4 linked regions of the Arabidopsis thaliana genome follow. The protein of the gene in region 2 interacts with the protein of the main gene of each other region in a pairwise test. Each region holds a gene or a part of one and is shown on either strand. Other genes may lie near its edges. The genes, in order: PDH-E1 BETA, AT5G28900, WRKY17 and AT5G14390.

Region 1 (7,230 bases), on a different chromosome or scaffold from region 2:
TCACTAAGCTTCAACAAGAATAGATTTCGGGATCCCAAAATCAGTATTTTATTGGTGATTGACCATTTTTTCATATGGAAGTGTTAACTTTGATGAAATCTCGTAAATTGATTAGAACCACAAATTTGAGTCCTGCGTAAATTGATAAGAACCACAAATCCAAATTACATCAAAAACTCGTTTTATAGTAAAGAAATCTTACAGGGTAACAACTACTACAAACTCAATAATATAATAAACAACACACTTTATTTAAATAAAAAATAAATACTCTTTTAAACTATTTTTTTTTGTCAACAGCTTTAAATTAAACTCAAAAGAGCCATTGTAGCTGCCATTTAAATTCTATAATGACTCAAAAGAAAATACATGAAAAATCAATATATACCATCGACTAATCACAACCTAGTTTAGTAACACAAGTTTTTAGACCTAAGGGTAAGAGTATATATCGTATACATATATACAAATTTTTAACTTGCAAGAAATCAAGTCACATGATCACATGAAGACTTATCAACAAACAGAGGTTAGGATTTTCGGAGATGAGAATTATTACAAACGAATCAATCAAAATGCAAAGTTGATTTTTCTATTAATCAACAAGGTTCACTTGTGTTCAAGCCAAATTTTAAACAAGCCAACTAAATTTGAGACGAGATTTTCAAATGATTTATACCAATCATATCATTGGACAATGACCGTAAATTCCGAAACTCTTGATGATCTGCTACCCCCTAAATCAAAAGAGAAAACTGATGATTCCAAGGATGAAAAGAAGCCTGCAAAATCTTTCTCATTGAGCAAAGACCAAAAATGGGTGTAACTTTCATATTTCAGGATTTGATAGAACATAATTTGTTGTCATTTTCAGGTATGAAGAATAGGTTAGTATCAGTTCAGGTTTTTAAACATTTTTAGACAAGTGAAAAGATAGTGTGTTTATTACCTTGAGAGTGTATGTATTCATGACCAAGGCCAGTTCGCATCTCGCCACGCAAAGCGACATCCTCCAAAACTACTACTACAACCATCTCCTTTTAACCCATCAAATTTGTTGGTTTTATCAGAATCAGACCCATCTAACCCGGGGCAACGAAGTTCTTGATCGCGTTTCGCTGCTTCCTCCCTGTATGATGGGTTCGAGTATCTCGGGTGTTGAATGAAAGGTACACTCTTCCACCAGAGTTGAAGTGCCTAAACAACGAAATGACGTTAAGTTGATCAACGTTTTGAGTATTTGTACTTAAAACGATTTTTGAGTAAATATAAGTCACTTACATGCCAATAGATCCATATCGCAACCTTATGAGGCATCAACCAGAAGAAAACAGCGGGATCAGACACCCGCGATAGGGGTATCCTTTTCGCCTTTAATGTCGCAGAGAAATAGTTACCGAAATGAGGATGTTGAGATGCAATGGAGACAGATAAATCATCTCCAGGTTCATTAGCTCTGATTTTCCAATTCCCAAGCATATCCTAAAAGGTTATTTAACCTCTAATCAATCACACAAAACTGATAAAACATCAATCAAAGAAGTTAATAATATCAAAGAACAACAACATACCATGAAAGGACTGACTTGTAATGATTTAGCAACCAAGTCAGATTCAGGGTCAAATACAAATGTCACTCGTTCCCCCCACGGCGTATTTGTAACCTACAAAATTCCTCTAATCAGATCAATAGATAGAGACACTAATACCAATAAAGCCAATGCACCATAAGGTTTCATTACTATGAGAGACATAAGCAAGAAACAGAGGAACAACAAAAACCTCTGATTCATATACCTGAGCAATGCATTTACTTAAGCGCTTACTTGACCCTTCCAAGTCATAGCAATAGTATAAACTCAATGGGTTTTGTTCATATCCAACGCTTGGTGGTATTGTCAATAGAAATCTGCACCACGAAAAAATTACAGATTCATCAAAACTACTTCCTCTATCACAATTACAATTTCTGAACTGATAAAGATTCATTCACCTAACAATTTCATTACAAAAACAACCAAACTACACTGTTAGAGAGCAAAACATAACCATAAAACCAAACAGAAACTAAAAAAAACACTCAATTTTGCAAATCTAACTAACTCCTGATCAACAGAATCTTTCAAATCTTGTTTGTTCCTCAAAAACATTACGCATTATAAAGTTTCAGTTCTAGGTATCAAAATCCAGATTCTTCCGATCTTGGACGAGTCAACAAACTTACATTGGCCCGGTGGTACGAGAAACACGGCGAGCTTCGTCGGCGGAGAAATGATCCGGCGGTGTGTTAATAGCTTTGTCGAGGTCAAAGAGTGCGTAACGAACGGAATAACGGAAAGAGTGGCGGACAGGACGGAGACGGTCGTGCCAGACTGTGCCTTCGTAGAAAGAGACATTAGGATCGACGGCGGCGCGTGAAGGAAGGAGACGGTGGAGAAGGAAGCGAAACGGGAGGAGAAGAGAGAAGAAGATGGAAGTGATTGAAGTGTAGATGATTGAACAGAGGAGAAAGAGCAATTCCATATCTCTACCTCTGTCTCTCTATCTCTATCTGATCTTTTTCAAAAATCAGAGATTGACATTGATGACCCTTCAAATGCAGAGGTTTGGTATATTTATGATTTAATGCCACGTTTAACGATAAGTATTAATTTAACGAGTAATTTACTTTTATTATTTTTGAATCTAATAATGCCGTTTTAAAATGCTATAAGTTAGTATTAATTTAGAATTTGTCTCATAGAGGCCATTGTTATCTTCAGTGACAGTATATTATTGTGTTGTGTGGACCCAAAAGCCAAAAAGGATTGTTTTATTTAATGTTGCAACCAGTTATTATCATAGGGTATTTATCGTATAATCGTGGCTGTTGCGTGGACGTTACTAAACCACTGTATATAATATGTATTTGCATATGGATAAATAATTAAATCATCTCTCAAATTTATAAAAATTTGCATTATGAGAATTCACAGAACTAAAACTCGTAGAATGAAAACTGCATACTAGAAAATCAGATAATAATTTTTTTAAAAAAAAATCAGATAATAAAATAAATAACTGCATACATTTGATTGGTAAATTTTTTATAATCGCATTAAAATAATATTTTACCATATATGTGTTACAAATCAGAGTATAAAATATACAAAACAATATATTGGTAGAGACTAGAGAGACTCAATGTAAATGCTTTAGTTACGTTTATATTTCGCTTATGAAAATTTGTTCTTTGTGGAGAAAAAAAAAAGTTCTTTTTTGACGAAAATTTGCTTACTGGATAATACTGATCTATTAATTACTGGGCCAAGACACTTGAGGCCCATCAACTCCTAGATCGGTGGAAACCTCAAATCTCACAGTTAACGTAATTAGGTTGGTCCAGGTGGTTAAGCAAACCCAGTGATAATCCACAAATCATATACGTACACGTGCCAATCCAGTCGTTAAGTAACACGTGTTAAATTAACATTGGTTGTTATACAATAGAGAAGCCACATGAGTTCGATGAAAACAATGTAAACATGTGGATTTGATTGCACAACAACAATACACATAATTTAATTCGATTTCGACAATTTCATTTAATTCTTCGATTTCTCCGCTTGTCACTGTTTCGTATCGCCATTTTCTGTTTGCATACACTTGTATATATTTATATTAACAGTCCAAAATTCTTCGAAATTGTCCCGAGCTTTGAGCATATAAAAAATGTCTTCGATAATCCATGGAGCTGGAGCTGCTACGACGACGTTATCGACGTTTAATTCCGTCGATTCCAAGAAACTCTTCGTTGCTCCTTCTCGCACAAATCTTTCAGGTTCGAATTTTATTTGATGATCGATCTGCATTCTCTGATTTCGATTTCTGGTGTTTTGGAGCTTCTATTGAGATGGATTTGTGAGATCTTAAAGCAGTTTCGTTGTTTGATTTTGATGCAGTGAGGAGCCAGAGATATATAGTGGCTGGATCTGATGCGAGTAAGAAGAGCTTTGGTTCTGGACTTAGAGTTCGTCACTCTCAGAAATTGATTCCAAATGCTGTTGCGGTAATGTCTTTGTCTCCGATTTTGTGATTTTTATGGTTTCTCCTTCTAATCTCTAATGATGTACGTTTTTGTTTTGTAGACGAAGGAGGCGGATACGTCTGCGAGCACTGGGTTTGTTTTGCACCTTTTTAGCTTTGCAAATTCGATTTTGATTTTACTCTTTTGTGCTCATTGAAGGATTTAGACACTGCTTGAACAAATCTCTAATTGGATCTTTCATGTTCTGTTCTAAATGATTAGATTGTTTCAGTAGTTTTATTACATTTTAGTGGGGATTCAAAGTTGGATAACGATGAGGAAGTTTTTAACTATGTGCTATTGGGTGTGGTGATGTAGGATCCTAGCCAGTTCTAGAGTAGTCAAAACACTAATCTATAGTTGATAGTGATGGCAAAAGCTTAATGTGTTGCATGTCTGCTTCCAGTAATCATTCTAGTGATGCCTTTGGTTGTGCTTATGATGCCAAATGTTTAGGTTAAACCGTTAAACCATTTAGTTCATTCCCATGAACATAGTTTAACTCTCAAGAACATTTCTGGACATCATACGGCAATTGGTTAGGCTTCTGTTACATATTATGCGACTTTCCATTTAGTGAATGTTTCTGTTAGGGGTTTGTGTGTTGTCTTCATTTTCACATAAGCAATCCATGATGATGTCACCATGGCATTTTCTTTCATGTATTAGTCGTCACAAATAGCACATTTTCTTTATCTACCTTTAAACTTCCATGCTCATATTCAATATAAGTGTCATGATGATGCCTTTTTTTTGTCAAAAATACAAAGTGTGACCAATCTTCTCGTATGAATTTACAGACATGAACTATTGCTTTTCGAGGCTCTTCAGGAAGGTCTGGAAGAAGAGATGGACAGAGATCCACATGTATGTGTTATGGGTGAAGATGTTGGCCATTACGGAGGTTCCTACAAGGTAACCAAAGGCCTTGCTGATAAATTTGGTGACCTCAGGGTTCTCGACACTCCTATTTGTGAAAATGCATTCACCGGTATGGGCATTGGAGCTGCCATGACTGGTCTAAGACCCGTTATTGAAGGTATGAACATGGGTTTCCTCCTCCTCGCCTTCAACCAAATCTCCAACAACTGTGGAATGCTTCACTACACATCCGGTGGTCAGTTTACGATCCCGGTTGTCATCCGTGGACCTGGTGGAGTGGGACGCCAGCTTGGTGCTGAGCATTCACAGAGGTTAGAATCTTACTTTCAGTCCATCCCTGGGATCCAGATGGTTGCTTGCTCAACTCCTTACAACGCCAAAGGGTTGATGAAAGCCGCAATAAGAAGCGAGAACCCTGTGATTCTGTTCGAACACGTGCTGCTTTACAATCTCAAGGAGAAAATCCCGGATGAAGATTACGTCTGTAACCTTGAAGAAGCTGAGATGGTCAGACCTGGCGAGCACATTACCATCCTCACTTACTCGCGAATGAGGTACCATGTGATGCAGGCAGCAAAAACTCTGGTGAACAAAGGGTATGACCCCGAGGTTATCGACATCAGGTCACTGAAACCGTTCGACCTTCACACAATTGGAAACTCGGTGAAGAAAACACATCGGGTTTTGATCGTGGAGGAGTGTATGAGAACCGGTGGGATTGGGGCAAGTCTTACAGCTGCCATCAACGAGAACTTTCATGACTACTTAGATGCTCCGGTGATGTGTTTATCTTCTCAAGACGTTCCTACACCTTACGCTGGTACACTGGAGGAGTGGACCGTGGTTCAACCGGCTCAGATCGTGACCGCTGTCGAGCAGCTTTGCCAGTAAATTCATATTTATCCGATGAACCATTATTTATCATTTACCTCTCCATTTCCTTTCTCTGTAGCTTAGTTCTTAAAGAATTTGTCTAAGATGGTTTGTTTTTGTTAAAGTTTGTCTCCTTTGTTGTGTCTTTTAATATGGTTTGTAACTCAGAATGTTTGTTTGTTAATTTTATCTCCCACTTTCTTTTATTTAGACCCTTAGAATTTTCTTTACACTTTATATGTGTTCATGGTGCTAGTTACAATAAATTTTAACCTGAGAATTTTCTTTACACTTATTATAAACACATACACAACTCATTTCCTTCTGAATCCAGACAACGACTTTATTACAATGACCCCCATGTTAAAATAAAACAAAAAAACTTTCTACGTACCAATAACCAATTTACAAAAATGAAAGTAAAAAACCCCTAGAGAAAGCTTTTGCATTCCAAAAGGGTTCTACTAAAAAGAACCGCCCAAAAAAAGAAAAACAACAGTTAACAAAAAAAATAAAAAGACAAACATTGGTTCTTGGTATCTTATATCACCACTTGGCTGATTTACATTTAGCAGCTCTTCCTGTGTCGTTTAAGAACGAACCAAAAGTCTTGATGACTTCTTCATAGGTTGGCCTTTTGTAATCCACTGCTTGCTCTACCACTTCTTCTGGCTTCGCCCATTTCCACTCCGCAAACTCTGAATCCGCTTCGTTGTTCGCTAGATTGATCTCTTTCTCGTCCTCATCGTTCCTCAGTCTCACTAAATACCTGTAGGAATTATTAAGTTTCAGAACAATGAGCCACATTCTTTGCTTTCACGAAATTAAGTAGTATCGAAGGGCTTACCATTTCTGAGCTTGACCATGCCATTCACCGCCCCAAAGACGGTTAACTTTTGCTTTTACTGCTGGTGGAAAATCATATGTCAACCAATTTGGGACCTGTTTAGACATTAAAGAACCCACATTAGTAAATATATCCTCTGATTCATATCGGTTCGCGCAAGTGTTAACTTAAATGTTAGCGACCTCAGAGACGATTTCAGCTGAAACAACACCAGTTTCTTCTTGTAACTCTCTCATGGCTGCTGACTTTGGATCCTCCCCATCTTCAATGCCTCCCTGTAATATCCTCAGTTTAGTGAGCTATTCAAACTCAGAGATAAATGCAAAGCAGAGAAAACAGTCTCTAGACTCTTTGACTACTTCGAAAATGTTGATTACTTCACCAATCTAGAAAATATTCTCTATCAAATTCTTGACCATGTTTTCATTAGAGTGGTGTTAAACATTAGTAATTTGCTACGTTTTCTCTAAACAACAAAAGTTACAACACCATGAATATTTTGAATCATTGGCTTTTTGGCCAATAAAAGGACATAGAAACAGAGAAAAAAATATCGAAAACT
Region 2 (9,262 bases):
TTATAGTTGTCCAAATTAAAAACAATTTAATTTGTTTTAAAAATTTGATTTGAAAAATGCTAAATAATATGTTTATATGACAAACAAATGGATTTTAACTACAACTACTAAGAAGTATAAAACACTCGGCCATATATATACGAAAACCAAACCAATATCTTCACTCTCTTTTATCAAAAAGCTTTTAACCTCAGCTGTTCAATAATTCACCAATCATGGTGACCAGAAACATCGCCTTTTATGGATTCCAATAAGAGGTCTATTATCTGAACGCACTTAGGGTTGTGCTCTCAGAGTTTATCTCGACTTTGATCTTCGTCTTCGCTGGCTCATGCTCCGGAATTGCTTTCAACAAGCTCACTAACAATGGAGCCACCACTCCTACCGGCCTCGTCGCCGCTGCCTTAGCTCATGCTTTAGGTCTCCTTGTTATTTGTTTCTGTTGTCGCTAACATTTCTGGTGGCCACGTTAACCCTGTCGTTACATTCGGTGTCTTTCTCAGTGTGTCAGAGGTAACATCATTCTCCTCAGTGGTATTTTCTACTTGATTGCTCAGCTTTTTGGCTCAGTCGCCGCGTATTTCCTCCTTATCTTTCCCACTGGTGACGAGGTAACATCACTTATTACACTTATTGCCTTACTAAACCAGGTTAGTATTGTTTTCAATTTGATTTTAGTTGTAATTTCGATTATTGGTTTTTTTCTTCTTCTCTATTTTCTTCACAGTTGTTATTAACCAAGAATAGTAAATATTTAAGATTCGTATAATACAATAATGTTTCTATTATATTTATAATTTCAAGCTGAGACTAATGTTAATATTTAGATATTTTAAATAGAAAATCATATGTTTAGTAAATATTTACCAGGTAATGGAAGATTTGTGTTGGCAAAACCAACCAAGTGAGCGTAATTGTAAACTTTAAACCCAATCGCCTATGTCTATAATCATAATAATTTAATATCTTTAATAACACCATACCAACATATATGAACTTCATACGTTAAAAAATAACTTGAAAGAATCACAATCGTTATAATTTACCGTTTATTTTTCTTCCTATCATTTTATAAAAAACAACTATATTTTCTAATTGATCGACACACATTTCACCAGCTAAATTTGTTATGAAATCAACATGTTAGAGGATTTGTTACAAATTTAAGGTTAATAGTGCTCAAGAAAATATTTAAAAATATAGAAAGAGTGATGGTTGAAGTTCTTACTTATGATAGGTTCATATGTTGAATTAATTACTAATTATATTTTACTTATTTTAATAAGTCTAGGTGGCAAGCTCTCATGTGCTGATGTGTCAAGTTGTGGGAGAGAGTTGAGCTCCTTTCATATATATAATTTACGTTATATTTTGCCTCTTAAGTTTTGTAGTGACCATCATAATTTCTCTTTTGATGTCTTTGTGGGCAAATGAGGTAATCTAGAAAGAAATTACATGGATGAAGATGATATAGAACATACGAGATCTGATGAATGACAGATTACTATAGTTTTTCTTTTCCCTAGTTAATGTTGTTAATAAGGGGATAATTTTGCTAAATTTGGTAAAAGTACATGAATTATATATGATATGTGATTTAGTCAAGAAAAATTATGTGAACCTGATTAGATTTTACCATGTCTCAGGTTTTCAAGAATGCAATTTTTATTTCCATGGACTAGTTGAAATAGTTACCTATAAAATATCTTATGACATAAATCGATCTAGATATGATCTACATACAATTAGAACGCTTAAACGTGGAAACTTAATTGATGATATGCTTTATGGTGATCAAGAAGAAGATATCAACAAAGTGTTGAGATACTAACAAAAATAGTTTTTTTTTCTTGTTGTTATAAATATTGAGTCAGACTTTAAGTTACACGTATTTGCAAACTATAGTTTTGTGTTAGTTTTTTTGATATCAACACATTTCTATTTATTTGGCAACAAAATACTTTTCATAAGAGCATTTCTATGTCATATATTATAATTTATGTGATAAAGATAAAGATCACGATTTCCCGATTGACAAAGAAAATCTTATGAAATATGGAAAACATGATATGAAACACATCATATGTTTCTCATTCGTCAAGTATTTTTTATATGATATATAAAACTTTCTTTCTTTCTAGAATCCATGGCTCTTGTATAAGGTAGATTGTCTAACTCGTTACTCTAGATAGTATATTATATGAAATTTGTTTCGTAAATATTTTTCCTTAAGATTGGACTACCAATTATGAAGTAATATTTTAACTAATGTGTGGTTGACAAAATATAGAAAAAATCAAGAATCCAACCACATGTTGAGAAAAAAAATTTCTACTTCAAATACACTTACTTATTTTTATTATTTAGTCAACGAAATATTAATTTATTTATGGACATATTTTTAAAAATACCATAAAATTAATTTTTGTTATAAAACATTATTAGTAGTTTATATTTTTTTGAAAGTACCACTAAAATATATTATTTTCTGAAAATACCACAAAATTACTTTTAAAGTTTTCAAAACTAGATCCTAAACTCTAAAAAATAAACCCTAAACCCCAAAAAACTTAACTCAAACCCAAACATTTAATAAATTATAAACCCTTAAAATCAACTTTTTGTGTTTCAAGTATTTTTTGGGTATCTCTCTAATTTATTTATTTATTTCAGATTGCTCAAAAGAATAAATAAATAAAAGAATTTGGCTGTCTCATTTCCTTGTTCGGAATCGGAGAAGAAGGAAGACTAGATTCGATGTGTTGGTGAAGAAGATCTCGACTTTGTTCAAAATTCCAATTTCGCTCGCCTCAAAGATCATTCTCTCATCTTCTCGACTTTGATGCGATTGATTAAATATGGTGGATACGGTTATTCCCGGAGATATGGCTTGTTTGGATGCAGATTTGTTGCAGCTTCAGGAAATGTCTTCCTTTGTTCTCAATTCTAAACCTGGATTCACTCAGAAGCTCTTCGACCAGTGGCTTTCTCTTCCCGAAGCTCAGCGACAGGTTTCTGCTTTTTCACTATTCTTACACTCATGCTTCTTAGCTTACTCTCTGTTAGTTCGAATCTTTCTTTCGTAATGTTACAATGATACTTCGGTTGCTTACTTACTCTGTGGTGTTGAGGATTGGTGTAAAGTTTGAATCTTTCTTTGATACTGTTAGTGGGTATTACAGTGATGCCTTAGGTGGTTACTGATATTTGGTTGCTTAATTACTCTCTGGTTTCTGTTGAGGATTGGTGTAAAGTTGGGATCTTTGATAGTGTTAGTTATTACAATGATGCTTAGCTTACTGAGAATGGTGTAAAGTTCGAATATTTCTCTGATTGTGTTAGTGAGTATTATAATGATGCCTTAGGTGGTTACTTAGATTCGGTTGCTTAATTACTCTGTGGTGTAAAGTTCGTATCTTTCTTTGATAGTGTTGGTGAGTGTTACATTGATGCTTAGGTTACTGAGATTTACTCTGTGGTGTTGAAAGATTGGTGTAAAGTTTGAATCATTTTTTGATTCTGTGAGTTATGACGTATATTCTTATTTTCTTATGTGAGTATTACAATGAAGCTTACGTTAATGAGATTTGTTTGCTAAATTACTCTGTGGTGTTGAAGATTGGTGTAAAGTTTGAATCTTTCTTGGATTGTGTGAGTTATGACAATGATGCCTTAGGTGGTTAATGAGATTTGGTTGCTTAATTACTCTCTATTCACTGGAATCTCTAGTCTAATCTTTTTCTCGTTGGTTTTCTAGGTTGGATCATTGCTTAAGGATGCTGTAGCTGGAGCTCCTATCAATGTTACTGGAAGTGCATCGGGTTCTAATTCTGCCACTATACCATCTATGTTTCCTGCGGGAAGTGCTCCTCCGCTTTCACCAAGGAGTTGTGGTTCACCCCGTACAACCAAACAGAGAGCCCCTTCTAACTTAGGTTCTACTCTCAAAGTAGTCAACGAGCCTGTTAAAGAGCCTATACCTCAGGTTTCTTTTCCTCTTTTTCTTCCTTCTTTATATATATATAGTAATGGAATGGAGTTAACTCACTGATTTCTTAACTTGAAATGATTCTAGTTTTATTTCCAAAATGGTCGCCCTCCACCAAGCGAGATTAAAGAGCAATGTATGTTTAGAATCAATCACTTCTTTTATGGTCACATGGATGGCTTGCAGATACAAGGTTAGAAGTCAGTCATTTGTTTTCTACTAATTATATTTGAACTGTTTATTAACTTTTTTCTCCATTTTCAATCAATACTCAGAATTCAAGTTAGTCACCAGAGAAATCTGCAAGCTCCCATCTTTCTTCTCCACTTCCCTTTTCCGGAAGATCGATCTCAACAATACAGGTTTTGTTACTAGGTGTGTGCCGCTTCTTCTATGCTTTTTTTTTTTTTGTATGGTGCTTCCTCTTCATGTCTGCATAGTTTACTGAAACACCACCCAGTATAACAGTTTTTCGTGTTTGTTTCTACAGAGATGCATTTATTGATTTTTGGGTAAACGGGAACATGTTGATAATGGATACAACGACCCAAATCTTCAAGATACTAAAGCAGAAAGATCAGAGTTTCATTGTTAAGGTTATTTTCTTTTAAGATTTGCATATTCAGTCAGTCATGAGAGCGAGTTTATTATATTCCAGATTCTTTTCTTTTTTTCATGGCAGGATGATTTCAAACCACTACTCAAAGAACTGTTGGCGACGCATCCTGGGCTAGAGTTCCTGCAATCCACACCTGAATTCCAAGAAAGATATGGTTAGGTCTCAACTTTATTTACATTTTTAGTATCCTAAGTTATCTCATGTTTTCTTTTTCCGCTTGGTATTGCTTGAGTAATGGTGTTTAGTAATTGAGTTTGGTTGTGCATTTTATTCTTTGAAGTATATTGGTAGCTACAGCCCTAGTTGAGAAGAATGAGTGAATAAGTTTGCCACTTTGGTATGATGTACTTATCTAAATCTGTCAGATGGTTACCAGATCAATAGTATTTCTTCTTGATATTGCTTGAGTAATGGTGTTTAGTAATTGAGTTTGATTGTACATTTTATTCTTCGAAGTATATTGGTAGCTACAGCCCTAGTTGAGAAGAATGAGTGAATAAGTTTGCCATGTACTTATCTAAATCTGTCGAATGGTTACCACATCAATAATATTTCTAGTGAAATAAATAATTTTGATAATTGATGCATCGAGATACAGTAATAAATGTGGCATTACTCTGTATGGATTTTAAAATTTTTATAAGATACGGTTTCTTTGTTTTGTTGTGTTAGACATCATCTTATAACTTGCAAATCCATAAAGCTTTCAAGCACGGAATGAATCATCTTCAGTCTATGAATCCTGCAGATATAATCAATATCAGAAAAAATAAATTCTGGAGCTTGTTTATGAATCATGCGTCAGTTAGTAATGAATTCCCGAGAACACTTTGATTGCTTTCTAGATATCTGGAGTCCATATTCTTTGGTATTTGCTGCTACCGGTATCAAAGCTAAATTTTTAAGGATGCTTTTCTGTCTGATACAATTTGTATTTTGCTGAAACAGCTGAAACTGTCACCTACCGAATATTTTATTACATAAATAGATCTGGCAATGGTCGAATTACATTTAGGGAGCTTAAACGGGGAAACTTAATTGATGCTATGCTACATGCTGATGAAGAAGAAGATATTAACAAAGTGTTGAGGTACTGACAAAAATATTTGCGTGCTATTGTTGTATTTATAGTATTGTTTTTGCTCATTTAACATCACTTTTCTATTCACTTTGGCAATTAGATACTTCTCGTATGAGCATTTCTATGTCATATACTGCAAGTTCTGGGAGCTGGATACGGATCACGATTTCCTGATTGACAAAGAAAATCTTATGCGATATGGAAACCATGCTCTTACCTACCGGATTGTCGACAGAATATTCTCCCAGGTTCTGTCTAAAAAACCTTGCTCTTTAATGCCTACTACTTGAAGATTTTATTTATATTGCTTCTATTTTAAGAGTTCTTTCCTCGTTCAAAGTTATTATTGCTCTTAAGATGCATTGGTTTCTTCTCAGGTTGCTAGGAAGTTCACTAACAAAGTTGAAGGGAAGATGGGGTATGAGGACTTTGTCTATTTCATTCTTGCGGAAGAAGATAAATCGTCAGTGCCTAGCCTAGAATATTGGTAAGTTGTGATAGAAGGGTCCGAAAGTTGCAGACAGATACCATTTTAAGTCTTTTATCTGACACAAGTATACGTTGGACTAGGTTTAAGTGCATAGACTTGGATGCAAATGGGATTATTACGCGAAATGAGATGCAATTCTTTTATGAAGAGCAGTTGCATAGAATGGAGTGCATGGCGCAAGAGGCTGTTCTTTTCGAGGATATCTTATGTCAGATGATTGATATGATCGGACCTGAGGTTCAACAATATATCTCTTGTTTTCTTCTTTCTATATTTAGTATAGTCACAGAAGTAGTTTGTGTTCCCAGTTTTCTTTCTGAGTCTTGTGATTTTGTTTTGTGTTTGATTGTTTTTTATTTCCTTCCACAGAACGAAAGCCATATAACGCTGCATGACCTGAAAGGCTCAAAGCTCTCTGGAAACGTCTTCAACATCCTATTTAATCTCAACAAATTTATGGCATTTGAAACCCGGGATCCATTCCTCATTCGTCAGGTACTAATCATCTAATTTACCTTGCTACTTCTTCACACCACCACATGCGTCTTATAACATTTCTAATGTCAAACGGAAACAGGAGCGAGAGAACCCTACATTGACAGATTGGGACCGTTTTGCACATAGAGAGTATATTAGGCTATCAATGGAAGAAGATGTTGAAGATGCATCTAATGGAAGTGCTGAGGTTTGGGATGAGTCGTCGCTGGAGGCTCCCTTTTGAGTTCATAAAGGTAAGTCAACGGAAAACCGTAGTGTCTAGAAGATAAAACTAGTGGAAAAGGATTAGAAAAAAAAGAAACTGAAAAAACTTTGATGTTGATGCTTGTGCAAATGTTATTATTTCATAATATAACTTAATCATGCAGAAGAGAAATGTAAAGTCCCTGAGAAGAACATTTGGAGCTTTGTTGAGGAAGGAAAGTGAAAAACAAACGAAAAGCCGGTAGTATCCTCTGTTGAATACCATACTTAGCTTGGATTTGTTTTCTAACTTCTCTTTATTTGTTAGCTGATTCTACAGTTATATTTATTAACAATCGTCTAGATTTTACAGTCTTCTTCACCTGTATTGCATTCACTTTGCTCTGATGTTTCTATCTCTGGGTGTTACTTCATCATCTCCAGATGTTGAGACTTGTGAATTTCAATGCTATAGTTCCTTTAATTTTTGGTTGGTTCCTGAAGACACAGGATGTCACTGAGATGAGAAGAGGTTGGTTGTGTTATTACTATTGATCTTGAAGTGATGTCTTTTTATTTGTGAAATTCTTAAGGAAAAGCCACTTTGCTCTGTTCAGTTGATCTTCAAATCTTCACATCGGAATCGGTTTAGTTGGTTTGCGGTTGCTCTGAACTGTTTGTCAACCAAACCTCCCTTTATTATACTGAAAACTCTTTGTGCAACAGATGAAGAAAAAAGGAGAGGAGTCTTATTATGTACATAGTGTGGAACTCGCAAAGTTACCAGAACCGATCTTTATTGACACTGAGATAACCAGACATGACTTTCCCACCCGTATTCCTCATACCATCGATGAGGAAACACCAAGTGGAACCCAATGCTCCGACGAAGAAATCAGCTTCTGACGCCATTAAGAAGTTAACCAGAGGATAGTTTGTGCTCATCTCTCTCCCGAGGCTCGCTTCATACTCAGCCATCGACTTATTACCGACTTGTCTTGCCACTTCCGTGTAATAGAATCTCCAGTGAGCATAATCTTTACTTCTGTCCACCACTTCCTTCATCTCTGTAGAGAGCCAGATCCTGTTGAGCTCTGGAAACCGATCTCTGATCCGATCAGCTAAATGCATGTACTCTTCTAAAGCTGCGACTCTCATCTCGCATGCTTTGTCTCCCATCCGTACGTGAACACTCAGCATTGGCCTTGGAAGCCACGGCTTGTGATCCGACCACACCTGTTCCTCAATCTCTGTCCTCATCTTCTTATTCTTCTTTCTCCAATCTCCAGCTGAAAGAACAATCTTGGCAGCTTCTTTTCCAAACGCGGAATTTCGAGCAATGTTCATCAAACCGCAAGTGTATTCTGTTTGATATCTCATCAAGTATCTCACTGCTTGTGCTCTCCACCATCTCCGATCCATTTTCCGATGATTGGAGATTAAACTTCCGTTGATTTCTGTAGTTGGCTTCATATAACTCCAAGGCTTACCCCATTGCTTTGGTATAGCCCCAGCCCAAATCTCCTTTGTGCTATAATTTTGTTTCCCTGTAACAATCCCACTCTCCCACGCTTCTCTCTTCTTCACAATCGCAAAGGCTCGTTTTCGACACTCTTCTGACGTTTCCTGTAGAAAATAGCAAGACCAGTTTCCACGAAAAGAACCTGCATCAAAACAAAAGAGAAACACCAAATCAAATCCAAAGTTTGGTTCTTATATACACTTTTCAGCGTCTAAAACATCTTGATAAGAAGATTAACCAAGAAGATGTAATTTGTGATAGTTGCTGCTATATGTTAGAGTGAAGACTCAAAGGATTAAAGCCTTTATGTACCTTTGCAACCATCATGATCTGCTCGGTTGTAGTAATTTGCAACAAGCACTCGGTTTTCATTTATAGCTATCGCGAGTAGACCAGTCATTCCAGCTATCTGAGCTCCTATTCCAAAACCAGGAAGTGTTTCCCAATCAGCTACAAGGAACTTGAGACTCTTGTTTCCGCAATCCAAAGGATGCTGATGAATCCATATATCTCTTTGCACTCTCCTCGTTAACGGATAATTCTCTTCATCTCCTCCACTGATCTAAAACACAAGCTTTTGATTGTTCATTCACCATACTAATTGCTTGATGACAAAGAACAAGAAAAAGAAGAAGCATACCCAAGGAGGAAGTGTCCAGTTCGCCAAACGTGTATCCAAACGCTCCCTAACTCGAGCCTTCTCCTCACAATTCTCCAAATGTGGACCATTTGGTACATCGGATTTGTTAATACCTACCTTCTTCAAGAAGTCTTCTTCATTTAGTAATAAATTATCCCAAGCAGAGACCAAAAGTTTCACTTCATCTTCTTCTTCTATCTCAACTTTGTTCTTCCATTTCAGTTTCCGGTCTATACTTGCA
Region 3 (6,510 bases), on a different chromosome or scaffold from region 2:
GTAAAAAATTTAATTCTCTAACTTTTAAATTTTTTTAAACGTAATCGAAAATTCTTTAAAAAAATATTAAGTTAATTTTTTTATTTTAAAAATATAATCTGAGTTTATTAAAAAATTAATCATTATCTCATAGATATTAATACATTTACCAATAATTTATCTCGTGGAGGTTACATTGACTTCTACAAACTATTCAAATCGATAACTCTAATTCGCTAAGTAATCCCCAAATCTTTTCTCAGTATCTTTGGCATAAATAAAGCCAAATCTTCTCGAGTGAATAGCAATAATTATACATCATGGCTTATATATTGTATTTTTCTGATAACAAATGTGCATTATTTCTATCATCCACTAACTAATAATTAAAAATTCAATATTGACCGTACTATTATAAAAAAAAAAAACAATGGTTGGAAGTTTGAAATACGTAAACAACAAAAAAACAAAAAAAAATAAAACTTCGTTCGTTAGTACCGTATGAATTCATAGATACAACATATACAAAATAAGTATTTTACCCAACATGTGTCTTCTTTCACTGGTTTGATCTCATTCGTTTTGCATGGGCTAACAAAACAATTATTTCAAATACGCGAAGATTATTATTTCTATGCGACCATTTTATAGAAAAGATAATTTAGATAAGATATAAAGGAGACATTTTTAGAGGAGATAACATTGAAATATATAGTATAATATATTTTTAGAGATTCATAAATTATAAATTTAGAAAAGGACATTAAAATTTGATATAGAAAAGGAATTTAAAAGTAAGTAAAAGTTTACAAAATCAGAAATGAAAAAATAAAATGCTTTTAAAAAAAATGTAGACGTGCACGACAATCATATATATTAGTCGGTTAGGTCAACGATTCCCATGTCGCTAATTTATAATGCATTCCGTTGACAAATATTTAAAAATGTTTCAATTATACATCTTGAGGTCTGTTTTTGCACACATAACACGTCATATATCATTGACAAAGAAAACACGTCGTAATTTTCTTTTTCTTTTTCTTTCATGTAGTCTTCTTGGCTTAAAAGAATTCAGCTAAGTAAGTATGGTTGATATTTTCTTCTACAAGTGATAAAACTTTGGAATTTTTGAATAAGTATAATTACAAGAAAACACTGCATATAACAACTACAAGAAAACACTGCATATACCAAAATTATCGAAACATGTATATTCCGACAAACTGAAATCACCGGAAAACGGTGGTGTATTGAAACAAAGAGTTGTTTTAACTGAAGTTTGAAAGTAAACAAAAGATTAAAAAGTAATTTATAGTAATGTTAATATTTACTCATGTTTCTGCTTTGGTGATTAGTAATAAATCTTCTAAAATCTATATGCCATTTTATAAATGCGATTAAAAATTTACCAATTAAACCTTATTTAGAAAAATGTAGAGAAAACTTCAAATTATCTCCTCAAGTAGGATTAGATCGAGCTGCAAATTGGCTCTTTTTATTCATTTAATTTCCTCCATTCCTAACTGTATTGGTATTGTTTACTTTATTTCTATAAGCAACAAAAAAAAAAGAATCTTGTGGACAGGTGACAATTTATGAGTCAGCCAGAATTGCCACGTGTCGGAAGATCAGTTGCCGTGGTAAAAGGTGTTTTTTAGATTCTCAAAAAAAAAGTAGTTAAAGAGAATAATATCAAAGAGTCAACTCCACAGTTCACAGATCCACCGTTGGATCTAACTTTTGGATTATCAACGGCCCAGATAATAGTTAACCGGAATCACTCGGTTACCGAGGTAGTCAATAGTTCTGTGTTTTAAAAAGAAATGCGTCCATGTGATCACTTTTATTTTATTTGTAGTCAGCTTTTGTTTTCCTACTTTGTCGTTTTTCTTTATCGCTGTTCTCAACTAAAGACTTGTAGACTATACTAATAAGATATAGTCAACGATTGTCGCTGTTATTATAGCCTTTAATCTCTATTAATGATTGTTAATTGTTCCACAATCTGTGTAGATTAATTAGGTAAAATTAAAAGTCAAGAAAAGATTGTTTTCAATTTACTAGTTTTCCAGTCAAGACGTTTTCTAGAAGGCTATGAGGTAAGAAAAAAAAAATATATATTAGGTGCAAAGTTAATATGGGAGTCAAATATTATTTTCAAATAATTATTATTGTCAATGCACTGCAAAATTAGTAATAATTCTAGAAAGAAATTGAAATAATAAAAATATGCTGCAAACACGAGTTTGGTATGTGTGCACCATATAATATTGACAAGTTGTAGTGTTGGTTGAAGCTAAAAATAACACAAAAACATAAAAAGAACATGAATAACGCCTAAAACTTAACACGAATAAAATAAAAAAACATAAAATATATTATCAAAAGTCAAAATCACAAAAGAAATTAATACCATTTTACAATTAGCTGAAAATTTATTCTATCAAAATCCAGTCCTATTAAAGAAAAATATGTGATTTGAGATGAAATTAATATTACATATTTTGATTTGGTTCAAGAATAAATTATGGATTTTGGTTAAAGACCTTCTAATATTCCAAAGAAACAAAAAAAAATCAGCCCAATTGTTCATACAAATAAAAACAATTCATTACCTTTAATTTTAAATTTATTGACTTGAACTTGAAGACATAAGATACCTAATAAAAGAAAAAATAGATATGAGACTTTAAAAAAGCTTTATGATTTTCTTTAGACACCATCCTTTAATGTTTTTTATTTGACTTTTTGTTTCTTTGAAATTCCTTTACCACCATTTTCCCCAAATTCAAGTTTACGCACAATGATTCCTTTATTTTAAAGACACGATTATAAATTCTTGCTTTGCACAAAAGAAGACCCTACATATCTCACAACTCAAGGAGACCAAACTTTGATTACTTTATTCCATAGAAATCTTCAACTCAATCTCAGCCGTTAGATCTAAAGCACCGATTTGACTAAACTCCATCTTAAACCTACTCAACCGGTCACTCGGTCACACCCATAACCCCATATATCACGCCAACGCCATTCTTTTTTCTTCCAGTTTCGCTCTCTCATTCATCAAAAAAAACTTGCACATCTTCTCAGATCTTCAAGTTTCTCCTCTGGTTTCTCATCATGACCGTTGATATTATGCGTTTACCTAAGATGGAAGATCAAACGGCTATACAAGAAGCTGCATCACAAGGCTTAAAAAGCATGGAACACTTGATTCGTGTCCTCTCTAACCGTCCCGAAGAACGTAACGTTGATTGCTCTGAGATCACTGATTTCACAGTTTCTAAGTTCAAGAAAGTTATCTCTCTTCTTAACCGTTCCGGTCACGCCCGGTTTAGACGTGGTCCGGTTCATTCCCCTCCTTCCTCCTCCGTTCCTCCACCGGTGAAAGTGACAACTCCGGCTCCCACTCAGATCTCTGCTCCAGCACCGGTTAGCTTCGTTCAGGCAAATCAACAAAGCGTGACGTTAGATTTCACTAGACCGAGCGTTTTTGGCGCTAAAACCAAGAGCTCGGAGGTTGTTGAGTTTGCTAAAGAGAGCTTTAGCGTATCTTCTAACTCTTCTTTCATGTCTTCTGCGATCACCGGTGATGGAAGTGTCTCTAAAGGCTCTTCGATCTTTCTTGCTCCGGCTCCAGCGGTGCCAGTGACTTCCTCCGGGAAACCGCCGCTTTCTGGTCTTCCTTACAGGAAGAGATGCTTTGAACATGACCACTCTGAAGGCTTTTCCGGCAAGATCTCTGGCTCCGGCAACGGCAAGTGCCATTGCAAGAAAAGGTATTGTTATTACTCCACAATAAATTAATCATTTGTTTGACTAGCCTAGTAGTAGTTAATTGTTTGGTTCGATACGGTCTAAACCAATCGCTCACGGACTCAGTGAAAATATATCACGAATTCAGATTTCAAAATTCTTTTTTTGCCTCGAATTTGTCAATCATGAACAAGTCTACTAGTTAAATTAACTAGTCTCAGTAAAAAATAAAGAATAAAAATCCGGGTTTAATACTTTGTAGACCGGTTTGGTACTATCTAAACCAATCGGTCAATGTATTTAGTGAAAGTCAACGACAGTAACTTAAACCAAAGTGCACGCCTGACAAGGACAAGTTAGTGGGTGCTGTCGTTTTGTATAGGGAAAGTTTTTACGTTTTAAAAGTCTTTGTCTGCCCGTTGACTTTTGCTAACCTGATGCATGTTCACGTTAGTCGTGTCAGCGCACGTTAAATCATTTCACTAATTACAATGTTTTATTATTTAATTAACAGCCGAAAAAATCGGATGAAGAGAACCGTGAGAGTACCGGCGGTAAGTGCAAAGATCGCCGATATACCACCAGACGAATATTCATGGAGAAAGTATGGACAAAAACCGATCAAAGGCTCACCACATCCACGGTAACTATCGTACACCATCGCTATCCACCGTTGATTTATTTGTGAAACATTGGAGATCTAACGGTTGTGATTTGTTTTTGTTGATTTCAGGGGTTATTACAAGTGTAGTACATTTAGAGGATGTCCAGCGAGGAAACACGTGGAAAGAGCTTTGGATGATTCAACGATGTTGATTGTGACGTACGAAGGAGAGCACCGTCATCACCAGTCCACGATGCAGGAGCATGTAACTCCTAGCGTGAGTGGTTTGGTGTTTGGTTCGGCTTGAAGAATTAATTAGTTTGGTAGTTTTGTAATATTTTGAGAAATAGAGGGGTTGGTTTTGTAATTTTTTTTCTATAACAAAATTAGTTTTAGATTTTTTTTTAGTAGTCTTTTGAATGGATTTTAATCTTACTACCGAGAAAGAAAAAATTCTTACTACATTTTCATAATTTCTTGTTTGATATATTTAGTGGTGTCATGTAAGAAAATGATGTTTAGCAAAGTAATTGGTATATAAATGTGTAGGCATATGTATTTAATGATATGGTTCGTAAAGTTACCATTACTCTGTTTGATCTAGTTATGATTTGTGATGGTTGATTTAGGGGAAAAATGTCATTTAATCCCCCAACTTTCAAAAAATGGCCATTTTATACATCAATTTCATATGTGGCCGTTTAAAACATGAACTAAACGTTGACTAATTTTTAAAACATGATCTTTCGTTGACCAGGCCAAAATAGACATGCCGTTATCAGTCATTAACGGAACTTCTAACGTCCGTTATCATTCGTTAACTTTATTAGTCAAGTTTCAAATTGTGGCCATTTTAAACATCAACTTCTTATGTGGCTATTTAAAACATGAATTAAACGTTGAATACCATTTAAAACATGAAAAATTCGTTGACCAGGCCAAAATAGACATGTCTTTATCAGTAGAACCTAGAAACCCGTTAATGACTGTTAATCTGTCCAAAATAACGTCGTTCAAGAATAATCGAAAGAACATAAAGATTTTTTCCATATGAAATCTCCATATCAAAAAGTTTTAAGCAGAACCCAAGAACATAGTTTGATAAAGAGATAATCGCAGTGCCAGTAATTGGAAGCAAATAAAGGTGTTTTCGTTTATATATTTGTTTTAAATTTTAAAAGGAATCATGGAAGCAAATTGAAGACTCATTATAAGATTGTTCGTCTTGTTTGAGCGGTTGTAAAAATAGATTTGGGGAAGTAGGGTTTCATTTAGAAAACAATCCTGATTTTCTTTTGATTACTCTCAAAACAAAGTCGTTTTAGGGATACTAATAGAGTCGTTAACAAGTGATAATGAATGTTATAAGTTCTTTTAATGAATGATGACAACATGTTTATTTTGGCTTGGTCAACGAATTTCTCATGTTTTAAATGGTAATCAACGCTTAGTTCATGTTTAAAATGGCCACATATAAAGTCGATGTTTAAAATGACCACAATTTATAACTTGACTAATAAAGTTGTTAACGGATGATAACGGACGTTAGAAGTTCCGTTAATGACTGATAATGGCATGTCTTTTTTGGCCTGGTCAACGAATAATCATGTTTTAAAAGTTAGTCAACTTTTAGTTCATGTTTTAAACGGCCGCATACGAAATTGATGTATAAAATGGCCATTTTTTAAAAGTTAGGGGATTAATTGACATTTTTCCCGTTGATTTAATGGAGGGTTAGACTTTTGGAATGGGGTTGTTAATGCAATGTTTGACTATTATGTAAGTTTATAGAAAGTCAAAAAGAGATTTCAATGAGTTGTTGGGAGATATTAGATGTGGAGGTTGAACAATATGAATTAATGCGGATTTGAGGGTCAACGAAATCATTATGATGTTGGAAGACAAATAATTTTTGGAACAATATTAAGGAACATTTGCGCTATGGAACATAAGTTCTCACTAAAGGTATGACACATATTTGCATTTGTTTATGTGTATTTCAAAGTTTTGATTAATATGTCATACTTGGTCATAATTGAATACTTTTTGCAGTGTTTGTTTATGAGTATTTTGAAGTTTTGTTCTATTGGATGTTTTGGATATGATATTGCCCCTCCAGCTTCGGATCAGATTCCTTTTCAAATCGATTTTGTGCTTGTGGTTGTTAC
Region 4 (7,205 bases), 6.3 Mb from region 2:
GGTAAAACGGCGGTATGCAAAACATTATTATTTTTATTATTATTATTATTATTATTTATGTACAATCCCAAAACATTGTTATTTAATAATAATTTTCATTGGGAAAAATAGTGTTAACAAAAACTAGAACACATAAAAAAAAAAATTGAAATTATGAAAACAATAATTTTTTTTTTTTGATACTGAGAATAAAATAATGTTTTATATATATTCTTGTCCTCTCAAATGATTTCATGGTTAACTAGCTAGTAAAATAACAAAGGAAAATCTAAATACTTCGTGTAAACATTTTTTTAAGAGAACCTCGTAAATTTATCGAGTCAATCAGACAAAATAATTGAGAATGCAGATCGCAGAAGAACAAAAAAGTATATAAGAGGAATGTAAGAAACTTTTATTTTTTTTGTCAAAAGAGGAATGTAAGAAACTAAATGATGAAAAATTGACGCACGTGTACGTAATTTGGGACCCTCATGCAATAAGTTTGTTGGTATAAATTTATGTTCTTTCAAAGTAAACTCTCTATCTTCGTAAATGACACTTTTCGTTATCTTTTGACTTTTATTTACATTCGTTGTTGTTTTCATCTATAATTCGCTTTTCATTCACTTGATCGCATGCTATTCACAAAAATAACAGCTAATTAAAATCCTATATAATCGTTTGATTATAGATATGTGATGATGTACTCAACAGACATAAATTATTTATATATATTAAGATTTTTTTTTGTCGAAGTAAGCAAGTAAGACCATCTCCATCGGTGGTTTCTCACTGAAAAACTCCAAATAAAAATAAATCAAAAATATGAAAATAATAATTTTTTAATCAGTTTTTCTCAGAATCGTTTTTGAAATGAGAAACTTGGAGAAACTTTCTCTCTCTTCCATATGTCACCTTGTTATTAATTTCTTTTCTTTGTTATAAATAAAATTATCTATACTTTATAACATCAATTAAATACTTTATATGTTTGTTATTTTTTTTATTTTTACTTTAAAAATTCATAAAATTAAATTATCTATATAACAAGCTCTATCATGTATATGTTTAAATTATATACGAATATTATTTAATTGGTGTTAGTTAAGCATTAAACATAATAATAACTTAAAAATACAATAGCTTTTTTTAATTAGAAAACAAACATTTAAAATTTTCTATTTTTATTTTGCAACATTCTCGGCAATCGAATTCGACTTCGTGATAGAGATATGCACCAACAACTAAAAGATGACCTAGTTGAGCATATATGACAAAAGTTTGGTGCATCATCAAATGAAGAGTAAAACCATAATAGATAATATAGTTAGCTTTGATTTATGTTATCATGGTTTTATATGTAATTTCTGTTTAATTTATATATTTTTTCTATTTAATTTATGTTATCATGGTTTTATATGTAATTTTATGTTTAATTTATATATTTTTTATTATGATTTTATATGTAAAGTAATGTTTAATTATGTTTAATTATGGTTTTAAAAATAATAAAACTATTTAATAATATAATTTGTAAAAATAAATAATTGATATGTTTGAAAATATTGTAGAGATATTAAATTTAATATAAAAACATATAATAATATGTTAATGTTAATGAGATACTCATACCAATGGAAGCACAATTTTAATATAAGTTTTTCTACTTAAATTAAACATAAACATATTAATAATATATTATGAGATACTCATGAAGTATCTCACCAATGGAGATGCTCTAAGATTCTTCTTCTAACAGGTTAAACAAAAAGTATGTGAGTTTCACTTGTGTTCTTTTAAGGTTCATTTTTCACAAGCTTGACTTGTTGCCACCACGACGTTAAGGTTTTCCTCGACGAAGCCCATGAGTACAACTTCTTAGGCCCATTATATAACAAGATTTGTGTTATTAATTAATTTATCATTTTCAGAATAATATCGTTTTCCAGAGGTTTGATTTTTTCTAATAGCTTTTTTTTTTCAACAACAGTTTGTAAAATAATTTTAAATAGTATATATCATGAGAAGAAGAAAAATAGAAATATAAGAAATTACAGCACAAGTTTAAAATTCTTTTTACGAATAATAATAATTATTAAATTGATAAAATAACATTAAAAATGATAAGCTGTCACACAAGGCATGAATGAGTGAAGACCCACCACTCCAAAATTTGCTTTCCGCTTCTAATTTTTCATGGACCCGCATTAAGCAAACCAACATACATACATACCCCTTCCTTATTCTTTTATTTTTCTTAACAATAAAAAGCTTACTAATATTATTATTCATTCTTTTGTCATCTTATATTTATATTTTTATCGTTAGTTGTTGATATTTATTTCTTGTCCAATTAAATCATAACATTTAAGTGCCTTTCATGTTCTCTCACTCTTATATTTCGCCATTCCTAGCTATAAAAATACACATGTTTATGTTTAATCATAAGCTTTGATTTATCACTCCACCAACGCTAAATTATTACTCTAAACCCCTTTTTATCTGCAAAAGTAACATTATAAAAAAAATGTAACTCCATTGACATATAAACTCTAACTCGTCTGCGAATCTCTATAGTTTTAATATCTTAATCTCTTTTAATTTCAGATTGCATAAAAAAACATTTTTCAGGGAAAGTAATCTTCAATTTTCTGTAGTTAAAATATGGCAATTTTAAAATAATAATAAGCCAAAGCTCGAAACTTTAATAAACAGTTTTTGTTCATTCTCTTGCTTTACCATTTCAAAGTGCCACTTTTTCTTCCTAAATCCTCTCTCTCTCTCTCCGTTCCCGAGACAAGCAAAAGCTTCAATCTCAAATCTTTCAGCAGCTACAAAAATGTTCTTCATCTAAAAGAGACTGTGAAGCAGAGAGAGAGAGAGAGAGAGAGAGAGAGAGAGATGGGAGGTGTGACGTCATCAGTTGCGGCGAAGTTCGCTTTCTTCCCGCCGAGTCCGTCGTCTTACAAGCTGGTTTACGATGAACTGACCGGACTTCTTCTGATGAACCCATTTCCTCACCGTGAAAACGTTGAAATCCTTAAGCTTCCGACACGTAGAGGAACAGAGATCGTGGCTATGTACGTCAGACATCCGATGGCTACCTCTACTCTGCTTTATTCCCATGGAAACGCCGCCGATCTGGGCCAGATGTATGAGCTCTTCATCGAATTGAGCATCCATCTTAAGGTTAATCTCATGGGGTATGTTAAAGTTTTAGTCCTTTTCTCTCTAAGATAGCTCTGATGATGATGATTAGCTCTTCTGCTCTGAAATTGTGTTCTGTTTTGTATCTGGATTTGATCAAAGTCATAGACTTTTTTTAATGGCTATTTAGAAATTTTTTATCTGGTCCCTTGTGGGTTTTGGTATTAATGGTGTTTTGCTAAGTGAAAACGAATGAATTTGGAGTTTTTCTTTCTTTTTCTGGAGATTTGTTTATTCTTCTTGGTTTCTTTTGATACACTGTTTGATTGTTCTTTTGTGTTATTATGATTTTTCTCTGTATCGAGTTTTTGCTGATCAAGCTTTTGGTTGAAACATTTATATACATTTACTTGTTTTTGAGTCTATTGTTCATTGTCTTTTCCCAAATTTTGATTTGTTGTCTTCTTGTGTGTTTCTCTCTGGATAGTGGATACAACTTGGTTGCGTTAAGATGCTTAAACTCTTTCTATGTCTCAGATTGTGTGGAAACTTTAATTAGCTCACAATAATCTTTATGAACCAATGCATCTCTCAACTTCAGATCCTTGAGAACATTAAAAACCAAAACAACTTCATAGCTTCTTGATTCAGCTCTATAAATGTTGCTTCTCTGCTTTTGTATTTGTAGGTACGATTACTCCGGGTATGGACAATCTACTGGAAAGGTTTGTCATTTTGAGAATCGACAAGTAGAGATATCGATAATGATTTTACCCGATTCGAGTGAAAAACTAAATAACCGAACTTGTTTTCGTGTGACTGCAGCCAAGTGAGCACCATACATATGCTGATATCGAAGCTGCTTATAAATGTCTTGAGGAAACCTATGGAGCAAAACAGGAAGACATAATCCTTTATGGCCAATCCGTTGGAAGTGGACCTACATTAGATCTTGCTGCTCGGTTGCCTCAATTAAGAGCTGCTGTTCTCCATAGCCCGATTCTTTCTGGTCTAAGAGTAATGTATCCAGTGAAGAAGACATACTGGTTCGACATCTTCAAGGTATTAAATACATCATTCTTAGATGGATCATTTTCGATTTTCTTGCTTTCCTCTATCTTTTTCACAGTGTCCACTTTTAACAATATTTGCAGAATATCGACAAAATACCTCTTGTGAATTGCCCGGTTCTCGTCATTCACGTGAGTTCCATATTCATTTTACTCTCTTTTCCTTTTTTTCAGTTCGAAAACTGAGTGTATATAACTCTTTGTGGTTCTTCTCTTGTGGCAGGGAACTTGTGATGAAGTTGTTGACTGTTCTCATGGAAAACAACTATGGGAACTCTCTAAAGAGAAATATGAACCGCTTTGGCTCGAAGGCGGTAACCACTGTGATCTAGAACACTATCCTGAATACATTAAACACCTTAAGAAGTTCATCACAACCGTAGAGAGAGATCTCTCCTCGAGGGCGAGCACGGCCCAATTAGAGAAACAGAGCAGCGATTTGGAAATGCCGAGGCAGAGCGTAGATAGAAGAGAGAAGCCGAGGCAAAGCGTTGATAAAAGGGAGAAAGAGAAACCTCCAAAGGGTCCTTCAAAGAAGAGTAAGCTGAGAATCACGTTCGAGCAGCACTTAGATCGGACTAGGAGAAGCGTTGACTTCCACGAAAAGGCAAGGAAGAGCGTTGACCATCATCAGCATCATCAGAATCATCATCAGATTGAGAGAGGAAGGAAGAGTGTTGATAGATTGGATAGAGTACGGTCTGAGTAAACCGGAGAAAATCTACCACACGTACATAAGTTGTTACAGAACAAGAACATTTGATCTTGATCTTGATTGGCCATTCTAATGTTTATGGTTTTTTGTTTTGATTTGTGAGTTATTCTCTAGTTTTATTTGGGTGTGTCATTTCTTGAATGGTGAAGCTTAAATCTTAAGCAAACAAATGAGAGAAATTAGGTCTTTACAATAACCTGCTACGTAATTTATTTGACCCAACTTTTACTCGTAATATCATGCTTGGTTTATGACTCGAGTCTTGAAGAGTAGAAAAGGAAGAAAATTCGAACATTGCAAATAAAATAAAGAGGAATTAAAAACTGCACTGCACATCAAACGATGATGACAAAAAAATGATGCATATAACACAAACAAAAAGATAGAATTAAAGAGAAGTTGTCTGTTTTCTAGCTCTGTCAGAACATTAACAAATGTCTTCGAAACCGTAAGCCCCAGAAAACTTCACCATGCAGAAGTTTGTATGTTTTGGACCTTTGGTAATGACTTGTGTGTCAGTTGTGTCTTCATATTGGGGTTTTAATTTGGGCTTAGTTCGAAAGTACAGTAAACTCTTTAAGATTGCCCAAAATGTATTTTGAGACTCTAATTCTAATTTTCTGCAATACAATCAATGAATCAAACAAAAGTCAAAATCTCAGTCTCAGCTACTAATATTAGTATTCAAAAAAAAAAAAATTGTGTACGAATCCATAAATAGAAGAATTGGTTTCTAGTCCTGTTTAATTTTAAAGTACTTTCTAAAAGTAGATTATAAGATTCATCGTTTCTCTCATATCCATCAATTTCCCTAATTTTTCTCATCTTCAAAAACATATAAATTCACACCCCCATGTCTTATTCTTACATCCTAAAGCTTTTGCAGTATTTCTCCATAGAATAAGAAAAATAAAACAAAAATAAATAAATAAAAAATACTGCTTTAGCTTTTGGAGTATCCTCCTTTTAATCTCAATAAAAAAACTATTAAAACAGAAAAAAAAATGGCACGTCAATTTGTCGTTTTGGTTCTATTGACTTTAACTATCGCCACCGCTTTCGCCGCCGACGCTCCCTCAGCTTCTCCCAAAAAATCTCCATCACCCACTGCCGCACCAACCAAGGCTCCGACTGCCACAACCAAGGCTCCTTCAGCTCCAACCAAGGCTCCAGCCGCCGCACCTAAATCATCTTCGGCCTCTTCTCCAAAAGCATCTTCTCCGGCTGCCGAAGGACCCGTCCCCGAGGATGACTACTCTGCCTCTAGTCCTAGCGACTCTGCTGAGGCACCTACCGTCTCCTCCCCACCGGCTCCCACCCCCGACAGCACTTCCGCCGCTGATGGACCAAGCGATGGACCCACTGCAGAGTCACCCAAGAGTGGTGCCGTGACAACTGCTAAGTTCTCTGTTGTCGGCACAGTCGCCACCGTCGGCTTCTTCTTCTTTTCTTTCTAAGTTAAGTCGTCCACGTTTTGGTTGGATGGATCAGAGATTTGTATAATCTTTTGAGTTGAGGCCGTAAATTTATTTTATATATACGTTTATAAATCGAGATTAATTGGAGTAAATATAAACCTAAATGTCATTTTGAAATTTGGTTAGAACAAATTTTCATATTTTGTTTAATAAACTTATTTTTTTTGGAAATGCTTATGATTTGTGTGGTCTAATGGTCTTTTAGTTCCTATTGTCATGTGTTGTGAATTAGATATCATGAATGATATAAATGGATATTTCTACATTTTTATTTTAAAATTTTGTTGGCTAATACTAAATTGTGTACTATTTATAATATTCATGATAAAGGCTATTACACATTTTTAATCAAGTTAATAAATTTAGGATGCTTTAATGTACTAACCTCTTTTGGTGCCAAAGTCAGCCAATGTGTAAATACAAGCTTAGAAACATATTTAAATATTTCATAGAAAATATTTAAATTTTGGAAATATTTGTTTGTGTGTTTTTTGACTGATTATTAAAAAAAGTTATGTAAAAATTTAAATTAATAGATAAGTTGTACTCCATCCGTCTTAATTTAGTTGTCGTTCTAGCACTAAAATATTGTTTTGTAATAATTGTCTTTTTTTTTTTTAAATGTAAATGTTTGGTACAAATTTTAATTATATACTTATTATTTAAATATTTTAACTAATAAAAAATTAGAAAATATATTAAGTAGATAAAATTAAATAAATATTTTTTTATAATTGCTGTGCAAAAACTTTAGAGGATAATTATTTTAAAACAGAGAATATTATAAACTATTTCTATTATTATCTTGTTTCA

The links.
Region 1: the proteins of AT5G28900 (region 2) and PDH-E1 BETA interact in a two-hybrid assay, tested with the Arabidopsis thaliana proteins (one large-scale study listed by BioGRID).
Region 3: the proteins of AT5G28900 (region 2) and WRKY17 interact in a two-hybrid assay, tested with the Arabidopsis thaliana proteins (one large-scale study listed by BioGRID).
Region 4: the proteins of AT5G28900 (region 2) and AT5G14390 interact in a two-hybrid assay, tested with the Arabidopsis thaliana proteins (one large-scale study listed by BioGRID).

Annotation. Positions count from the first base shown.
Region 1 is NC_003070.9:10,582,959-10,590,188, reverse strand, and holds PDH-E1 BETA (pyruvate dehydrogenase E1 beta), read left to right. Parts: upstream 1-3,508; 5' UTR 3,509-3,711; coding exon 3,712-3,820; intron 3,821-3,941; coding exon 3,942-4,048; intron 4,049-4,127; coding exon 4,128-4,159; intron 4,160-4,866; coding exon 4,867-5,839; 3' UTR 5,840-6,084; downstream 6,085-7,230. Other genes in the region: AT1G30130 (DUF1365 family protein), read right to left, coding at 967-1,197, 1,282-1,482, 1,572-1,664, 1,798-1,909, 2,225-2,523; NUDX25 (nudix hydrolase homolog 25), read right to left, coding at 6,368-6,590, 6,669-6,763, 6,851-6,943. UniProt on the Arabidopsis thaliana protein: The pyruvate dehydrogenase complex catalyzes the overall conversion of pyruvate to acetyl-CoA and CO(2).
Region 2 is NC_003076.8:10,922,994-10,932,255, forward strand, and holds AT5G28900 (Calcium-binding EF-hand family protein), read left to right. Parts: upstream 1-2,641; 5' UTR 2,642-2,858; coding exon 2,859-3,011; intron 3,012-3,757; coding exon 3,758-3,985; intron 3,986-4,075; coding exon 4,076-4,181; intron 4,182-4,263; coding exon 4,264-4,363; intron 4,364-4,478; coding exon 4,479-4,584; intron 4,585-4,670; coding exon 4,671-4,761; intron 4,762-5,555; coding exon 5,556-5,697; intron 5,698-5,788; coding exon 5,789-5,936; intron 5,937-6,065; coding exon 6,066-6,175; intron 6,176-6,258; coding exon 6,259-6,415; intron 6,416-6,547; coding exon 6,548-6,673; intron 6,674-6,755; coding exon 6,756-6,899; 3' UTR 6,900-6,909; intron 6,910-7,044; 3' UTR 7,045-7,469; downstream 7,470-9,262. Other genes in the region: AT5G28910 (alpha-(1,6)-fucosyltransferase), read right to left, coding at 7,640-8,523, 8,694-8,943, 9,022-9,262.
Region 3 is NC_003071.7:10,435,815-10,442,324, reverse strand, and holds WRKY17 (WRKY DNA-binding protein 17), read left to right. Parts: upstream 1-2,855; 5' UTR 2,856-3,102; coding exon 3,103-3,761; intron 3,762-4,252; coding exon 4,253-4,381; intron 4,382-4,471; coding exon 4,472-4,649; 3' UTR 4,650-4,972; downstream 4,973-6,510.
Region 4 is NC_003076.8:4,635,254-4,642,458, reverse strand, and holds AT5G14390 (alpha/beta-Hydrolases superfamily protein), read left to right. Parts: upstream 1-2,623; 5' UTR 2,624-2,883; coding exon 2,884-3,185; intron 3,186-3,817; coding exon 3,818-3,854; intron 3,855-3,954; coding exon 3,955-4,191; intron 4,192-4,283; coding exon 4,284-4,331; intron 4,332-4,422; coding exon 4,423-4,908; 3' UTR 4,909-5,172; downstream 5,173-7,205. Other genes in the region: AGP6 (arabinogalactan protein 6), read left to right, coding at 5,919-6,371.